Daphnia pulex: one gene and its partner. The protein of the gene in region 1 purifies or fractionates together with the protein of each later gene. This does not show direct contact. Links are inferred from orthologs where the notes say so. Each region holds a gene or a part of one and is shown on either strand. Other genes may lie near its edges.

What was found.
Region 2: the proteins of GTP-binding nuclear protein Ran (region 1) and nuclear cap-binding protein subunit 1-like purify together in Homo sapiens (co-immunoprecipitation; 3 studies listed by BioGRID and IntAct, with this or other methods). This does not show direct contact. The link is inferred for Daphnia pulex from reciprocal best matches to the Homo sapiens genes RAN and NCBP1.

The regions. Positions count from the first base shown.
Region 1 is NC_060020.1:1,359,152-1,362,208, reverse strand, and holds GTP-binding nuclear protein Ran, read right to left. Parts: upstream 2,134-3,057; 5' UTR 1,981-2,133; exon of another isoform or gene 1,924-1,980; intron 1,796-1,923; exon of another isoform or gene 1,698-1,795; intron 1,567-1,697; 5' UTR 1,554-1,566; coding exon 1,311-1,553; intron 1,253-1,310; coding exon 1,064-1,252; intron 1,005-1,063; coding exon 789-1,004; 3' UTR 652-788; downstream 1-651. Other genes in the region: NFATC2-interacting protein-like, read left to right, coding at 1-138, 292-566; uncharacterized protein LOC124192239, read right to left, coding at 2,965-3,057. UniProt on the Homo sapiens protein: GTPase involved in nucleocytoplasmic transport, participating both to the import and the export from the nucleus of proteins and RNAs. Switches between a cytoplasmic GDP- and a nuclear GTP-bound state by nucleotide exchange and GTP hydrolysis.
Region 2 is NC_060022.1:6,378,315-6,382,000, forward strand, and holds the start of nuclear cap-binding protein subunit 1-like, read right to left. Parts: upstream 2,801-3,686; 5' UTR 2,677-2,800; coding exon 2,646-2,676; intron 2,581-2,645; coding exon 2,303-2,580; intron 2,248-2,302; coding exon 2,054-2,247; intron 1,987-2,053; coding exon 1,815-1,986; intron 1,755-1,814; coding exon 1,533-1,754; intron 1,473-1,532; coding exon 1,372-1,472; intron 1,311-1,371; coding exon 1,139-1,310; intron 1,075-1,138; coding exon 907-1,074; intron 847-906; coding exon 594-846; intron 535-593; coding exon 401-534; intron 335-400; coding exon 10-334; intron 1-9. Other genes in the region: uncharacterized protein LOC124196162, read right to left, coding at 3,669-3,686. UniProt on the Homo sapiens protein: Component of the cap-binding complex (CBC), which binds cotranscriptionally to the 5'-cap of pre-mRNAs and is involved in various processes such as pre-mRNA splicing, translation regulation, nonsense-mediated mRNA decay, RNA-mediated gene silencing (RNAi) by microRNAs (miRNAs) and mRNA export.

The DNA.
Region 1 (3,057 bases):
ATTTCAAAACCATCTGCCAGAAATTATCAGAGATCACTGATGTGGATGCTGGACAAATAATTCTATATTTCAATGATCAACTACTGAATGACTATGACAGTCTCAAAACAGTGCCACTTGGGATATCAGACATCATTGGTATGTTACTTGTCATTCAAATTACAGTCCATTTCAGCGTCATAAATCGGTTTTAGCAACCCTGGCATGAAGTCAATTGGTTTTCCAATGTAAAAACTTTGGACGATTGGGTTTGGTATTAGCGAACGTTGTAACAGTGCTTTTTTTTAACAGATGCTTCAGTCTGCAAAGAAGGAGTTGTCGTCAGCTCCAACGAAACATTGTTGGAGTTAAAGGTTCAGAGTCAGAACCGGAATGCACAAGTGGTTATATCAATGCGCCCCGAAGACCCTATGGCAGTTTTGATGCAGAAGTATGCGGAAGCAACCGGGATTGATTTGTCCAAATTGAAGTTTAAATTTGACGGCGAAATGTTGGAAGAAGATGACACACCGTCTAGTCTGGAATTTGAAGGTGGCGAGTGTATCGATGTTTTCATTAGAGAGTAGTTTATTTGTTCACTACATTTTTCTTAACTTTACTACTTTGTATATTTTCCCTTGCGCAAATAAATTATGCACTAATAAACAAAAATTCGAAAGACTTTTGTATTATGACGCACAATGTATTTTCATACCTCGCAAATAAAAATTGGTTAAGATAGAAGGCAGAAAACACAGATGGAAAAATTTGTGGGAGGGTGTAGTGGCTTAAATCCTAATATGTTGATGTTACAAGTCTTCATCATCTTCTGGTAGTGCAATGTGTTGAGCTTCCTCCAATTCACCTTCAATTTGCTTCTGCCAATTAGGATCCATCTGCACCTCAGGTGGCTGCAGAGCAGGCATAGCAACAAACTCTAGGTTAGGGTCTCCAATTAGCTTACGTGCTAGCCAGAGGAAAGGCTTTTCAAAGTTGTAGTTTGACTTGGCACTAATGTCATAGTACTAAATGAAACCAAAATTTAGCAAATTGCATTTACAATTTAGTAGCACAATTAACATACCTGGAGATTCTTCTTTCTGTGAAAGACAATGGATTTGGCCTTGACTTTACGATCTTTAATGTCAACTTTGTTGCCACAAAGAACAATTGGGATGTTTTCACAAACTCGGACCAAATCTCTGTGCCAATTTGGAACATTTTTGTAGGTGACACGAGAGGTTACATCAAACATGATGATAGCACATTGGCCCTGCAAGATAAATGAAAGTCAGTCGAGACCATGTGAATACAAGTATGCTGACATTTACCTGAATGTAATATCCATCTCTGAGACCTCCAAACTTCTCCTGACCAGCAGTGTCCCACACGTTGAATCTGATGGCTCCACGGTTTGTATGGAAAACCAAAGGGTGAACTTCCACACCAAGTGTGGCCACATACTTCTTTTCAAATTCACCAGTCAAGTGACGCTTAACGAAAGTGGTTTTTCCGGTACCACCATCGCCAACCAAGACCAGCTTGAAAGTGGGCATGTCAGGTTCGGCAGCCATTCTGTTGTAAATCCTACAAATAATGAGAAAAGATAAGTGAATCGATCAGACTTGATTGCGTCATTCAACAAGAATTTACTGGAACTTAATCTAACGACAACAAAATATATTTTTCTAAAAATTTACACACTCGTGAACACTTACAAGTTAACTGTCAATGTTTAATGTCAAGAGAAAAAAGGGACTATTTCAAACAACTACCACAGAACAGTTTTACCGCCACTGACTAGCTTAGTGCGTTGTCTTTGATGGAGGAAGATGACTGTTAGAGGTTACAACTTGAAAAATGCAGAATAAAATAACTATGATGACTAAAATACTTTCCATGCCGAATTAAAAAGAGATTGGCAAAAGAAACATTACTGCTTACTTAAAACAACGAAAAGATGAAGGATGTGGACAATATTCGAAGATAAATCTAACTCACCGGCGGTTTTAAGCTTTAGGTTCACAATCGCGCGGTTCTAATACCAAACTGGTCTCTAAAAATTCTGGTAGCGTAAAGGCTGGCTGAAAATGGGTGGCTCTAAAAAATTCCTAGCGAGATGTTGCCAAATTTCACTAGGAGAAACGGCGGGAATATTTTCCTTTTCTTTGAAAAAAAGACGGTTGGAATTTGAAAATGGAAAGTAGGCTGTAGCAGGGCTGTAGCTCTCTATTTCTCTAAAGCCTGTCTAAAGCTTTGAATGTAATTTATTAATGTTGAATTTCATTCAGGCCTATTAACGGGATGATGTTTTTTAATTTTTTAATCAACAATATATTTATTTTGTGTGAGATTAAAATGCTAAATGTGTTAATAAAAAGGATAGTAGCACTTAATTCAAATGAAATTACCTTTTAAAAGAAGAAAGAAATTCCTATAAGCATCACTGTATATAAATTAATTAATAGGACATTAAAAGACGTGGTAGCAGCATGATGAATATTTCTGTCAAAGTTATGATTGCTGTTTTTTTTGTTAGTCATTATTTCATTGTATGTTATAAAATCAACCGTTCGAAGAAAAATAACAACGGAGGCGATCATTCATACAAGCATCTGTATTTATTGATACGATGAATTTCTGGGTTACAAAAAATAATGGCGAGTTTTGTTTTACAAACAAAATATCAATGAACTATTACAAAATAATTTTCGGAAGGTTTCATCACAGTGTATAAAATCTTGGGAGATAAAGCTATGACGAACATTTTGATGCGATACCGGTTCGTTTGTAACTCAACGCGAAACTGACTACTTGAACGAGGATCCAAACAAAAAACGCAAGACAAAGGGGAATATGGGGATAGGGGGTTTCAGTAGTCATCACATTCCACATTGGCGAACTAATCATGCACACATAAAAATAAACTAAAATAATCTGAAATAAACATGGAACTCCAAGTTTTATCATATATAGTTATCAAAGTTAGGAGATTTTTTTATTTTTTGCAGCTTCAATGAACTTTGCCATCAGACTCTTGACAGAAAATGGGTCCTCTTTTTTGGCTCTTGTTTCTTT
Region 2 (3,686 bases), on another chromosome or scaffold:
TGTTCGCACCTCTAGATGGATCTTCATCAGATGATTCCGAATCAGATGGTGCAGCTCTGAGTTTAGCGCGTGCATCCGCCACCTCTTTCTCTAGACGGACGACGTGTTTGTTCATTTTGCGAATAGTCAAGTGCAAGACCTCCCAAATGTACGAACGAGTGAACTCGGGTGCCATGTCTCGTGAAAAGATCCAATTTGCTACGGCACAACACTCAACAATTTGTGTCTTTAACATCTTATCAACTACCACTCCTAAAAATTGTGGGTGGTGTTGCCAGAGCTCATAAACTTGACGAAGCATACAGATCTGTGCCTCTTCATTCTCACAAATATTCTATGACAGAAACGTAAAATTGAATCGTTTTATACTATCGATAACATTTCAATCTGTTGAAAATACCTTGAAGACTGAATGATATTTAGCGAGACCTGCAAAAGTATGCGTAAAACTCTTCGATCCCAAATGTAGCAGAGTCTGAACAAATACTTCAATTGCTAGAGGATTGTGTGAAGGCTCCATATCCCCGTCGTCATCTAATTACAATTGCATCAAAATGGCTTGAAGTTATACATATTGTATCCACCATATTTACCTTTGAGAGGATTCGGTAGTTGCTGGACCAACTCTAGTACTTCTTCAGGCGTTGGCTTTTTTCTTAGGAGCTCAGTCAAAGTCTGGACTTGAGCAGCCCCAGGAAAACCATTTCCTCCTTCAATTTGGTATTTAAAGTACGGTTCTGGTTTCGGGGGCAACAGCGGTGAGTAACATTCAGGCACCATTTCAGTCACGCGCTTGTGATAGGAGAGTCTCAAACATTTCCCGAACACTTCAGAAACAAATTTTGCCTGAAATTTAAGTGTTCCTTTAGATAGATTTCGAAAAATTTCATTTTTTTAAACATTTACCTTGGGGTGGTCTTTTTCGAGTGAAAGACAATTCTGCCAGTCATCCCAACTCCAGCGGAATTGAAAGTTACTGAGATGGTAAGAAAACCAAGAAACGAATCTATCAAAGCAGGTGGCATTCATGGTATCAATTCTTTCGTAAAGCAACTCCGTAGCCTGTGCTAACACCTGGTTGTGAAATAAAAAGTCAAATGAAAATGTTCAAGTTTCTACTGTAAGATCATATTTTCACCTGAGGCATTGTACTTGGTTGAAGCTTGCAAAGTTCTATCAAAGTACAACCATAAGCAATCTCCAAGTAACGAGGGGAAGGCATTTGGAAAAGTTCTGAGAAGAGAACTTCAACTATCATGTATTCCAAAGGGATCTTATTTCTCTGTGGGAACGCCAACAATTGGGTGGCTCTGAAAAGCAAAATTAATTTACTATTATCTGCACAAACGTTTCTGTCAAGTTGAAACTCACAGTTCCTTGCGTTCGTTATGATGACGAGTGATGATCTGGTGTAAATGTTCCTCAATCAAGTAACGCTCTACTGAATGAGTTCCTGGTAAAAGTGGACCAGCCTGAAAATGAGTCCCGAGTTAAATACGCACGATACACACTTTTGAAAGCGTTTAACTTACTTCTGGACAGTCAGTGTAATCAAACATCCTGAAAACAACCCATGGTAGCGGATATTGCGTACTAGCTGTGTGAGGCGGAGGTAGAATGACCGGGAGATTGTGTTGCAAAGCTTCAGAGAGGATAGAATCAAAAGCTAAATATGGACGGTAAATGTGTCTTTCCTGCCACTCGTCTGTCCGCAATTTCCGTACTTGAGCCCAAAGACATTCCAGGTATTCTTCCTAGAAAGAACGTTTTTCGAAATTTTTCAATTATTATTAAAATGCCATGCCATTTCTGACCTGTGGGTGCGGAGTTTCACAATTCCAAACTCGAAGAGCAGCGACATGAGCAGTATTTCTTCTGCGAAGATAACCTTCCATTGCTGCCATTATACGTTCAAGATCATTTTCTTTCTTTTCAAAAAGCTCTCGACCAACCCAAGGAAGCGCCGTCAACAACGCATACATGTACCTGTAAATTGATACAGTGTTGTGATCTACATTACTCTTGCTTTAGAATAAAACAAAAATTTAATTACCAGTCTCGTCGAACCTGAGGAACTCCTTGTTCCATGGCAGCGTCAATAAAACTGTCATATAACTGTAGCAAGGAAGAGGCAGAGACTATGTGACAGTTGACCATGTCAGATATGAAACGTACAATTAAACGAGCAGATTCCCATTGCCCCTCACGGAGAGCTTCTTTTAGGTTTCTCACTATTTGTTCCACAAACTAAAAAAAGATATACTTGTATCTTAAAAACTGAAAGTACAATTTTAAAACAAACCTCTCCTCCAAAATTATAGTTTTTAGCATTCAGAAGACCAACTAATGTGCTGTAGATAGTACATTTCTCTGGCATTTGGATTGGGCATTCCGACAAAATACGTAATATTTTACTCTTGTACGTGTTCAAATCAGCTTCTAATACTGAAGCAAGCCCTTCTAAATTGCTTTCTAAAGATGATGACGTTTTGTCTCCAACCCTGATAATAAGAGATTCTAACCGGTCTTCAATTTCTGCCTGCTCCGAGACAACTCTGCGCCTTTTACGATACCCATGTTCTGTAATTTTAAACAAATAACTTTTTATAATGTCATCAAATTCTTCAATAAGTTGTAATCCTTACCATATCCATCATCACGTTTCCTACGACTCATTCTTTGATTTTATTTTAAATTGGTCTACGACGCTTACAAGACAGACAAACTACTACCACCCTGTTTGACTGTTTGTCATATGGAGCTATTAAAGAAGCTGTTAATTTGACGCCATCTATTGATGAAATCATAAACTTCGATGATCGTGAAAATAGTTTACATAACTTGACAACGTAGCTGTAAAAATTGTTTATTTTAGGCAACGCAATTTGGCGCAAAAATTCAATTCAGTTTATATTCAGCTGAATTGAATTAAATTCACGCAAAAATGGGATTTGTTGAATTCAATTTAGGTGAAATTGGCTACGAATGTCGGACGATTCGGCAAAAACCATTTCGGCAAATCGCCGAAAACCGTTTCGGCAAAGTTGCCGAATTGTCACCTATGAAATTACCGATTCGGCAAAAGTCGATTCGGCAACTGTGCAAATGTAAATTGGCGGCAAATACTGTGGAACCCAATTAACCCCACAACGTTAGCTAGGGCTGTAAATCGGGTAAAAGCAAAGCGCACTGCTAAAAACCCAATTGATCTTTTTTTTCAAATCAAAATGGACTTAATGCCCACTTCGTTTTTTAAAGGAGAAGTTGTAGTTGGTTCTAAACGTCATTTAATTTTCATGACTGACGAACAACTAGCGCTTTTGAAAACTGCCGTTCGATGGTATGCCGACGGAACCTTTAAAATAATAAACTTCCCTTTCACTCAACTATTTTCCCTCCATGGTTTTCTAAAAAAGAATGGGCAGTTAAAGCAGGTTCCACTTTGTTTTGTGTTTATGTCGGGAAGGGCTCAAAGATCTCTCGGGAAAGACAGTATAATTCGCGTGTTGGTGGTGGCGCTGATTACCCGAAACCCACACAGCTAGCGCCACTGGCCTTACAACGGCATTTTAAACAATTTTGCCGAATTGGCTTTTTACCGAATTGGTATGTACGATTCGGGAAAATAACAAAGTCAACCAATTCGGCAAAAACCAATTCGGCAAACGTCAAATTTGCCGAATCGT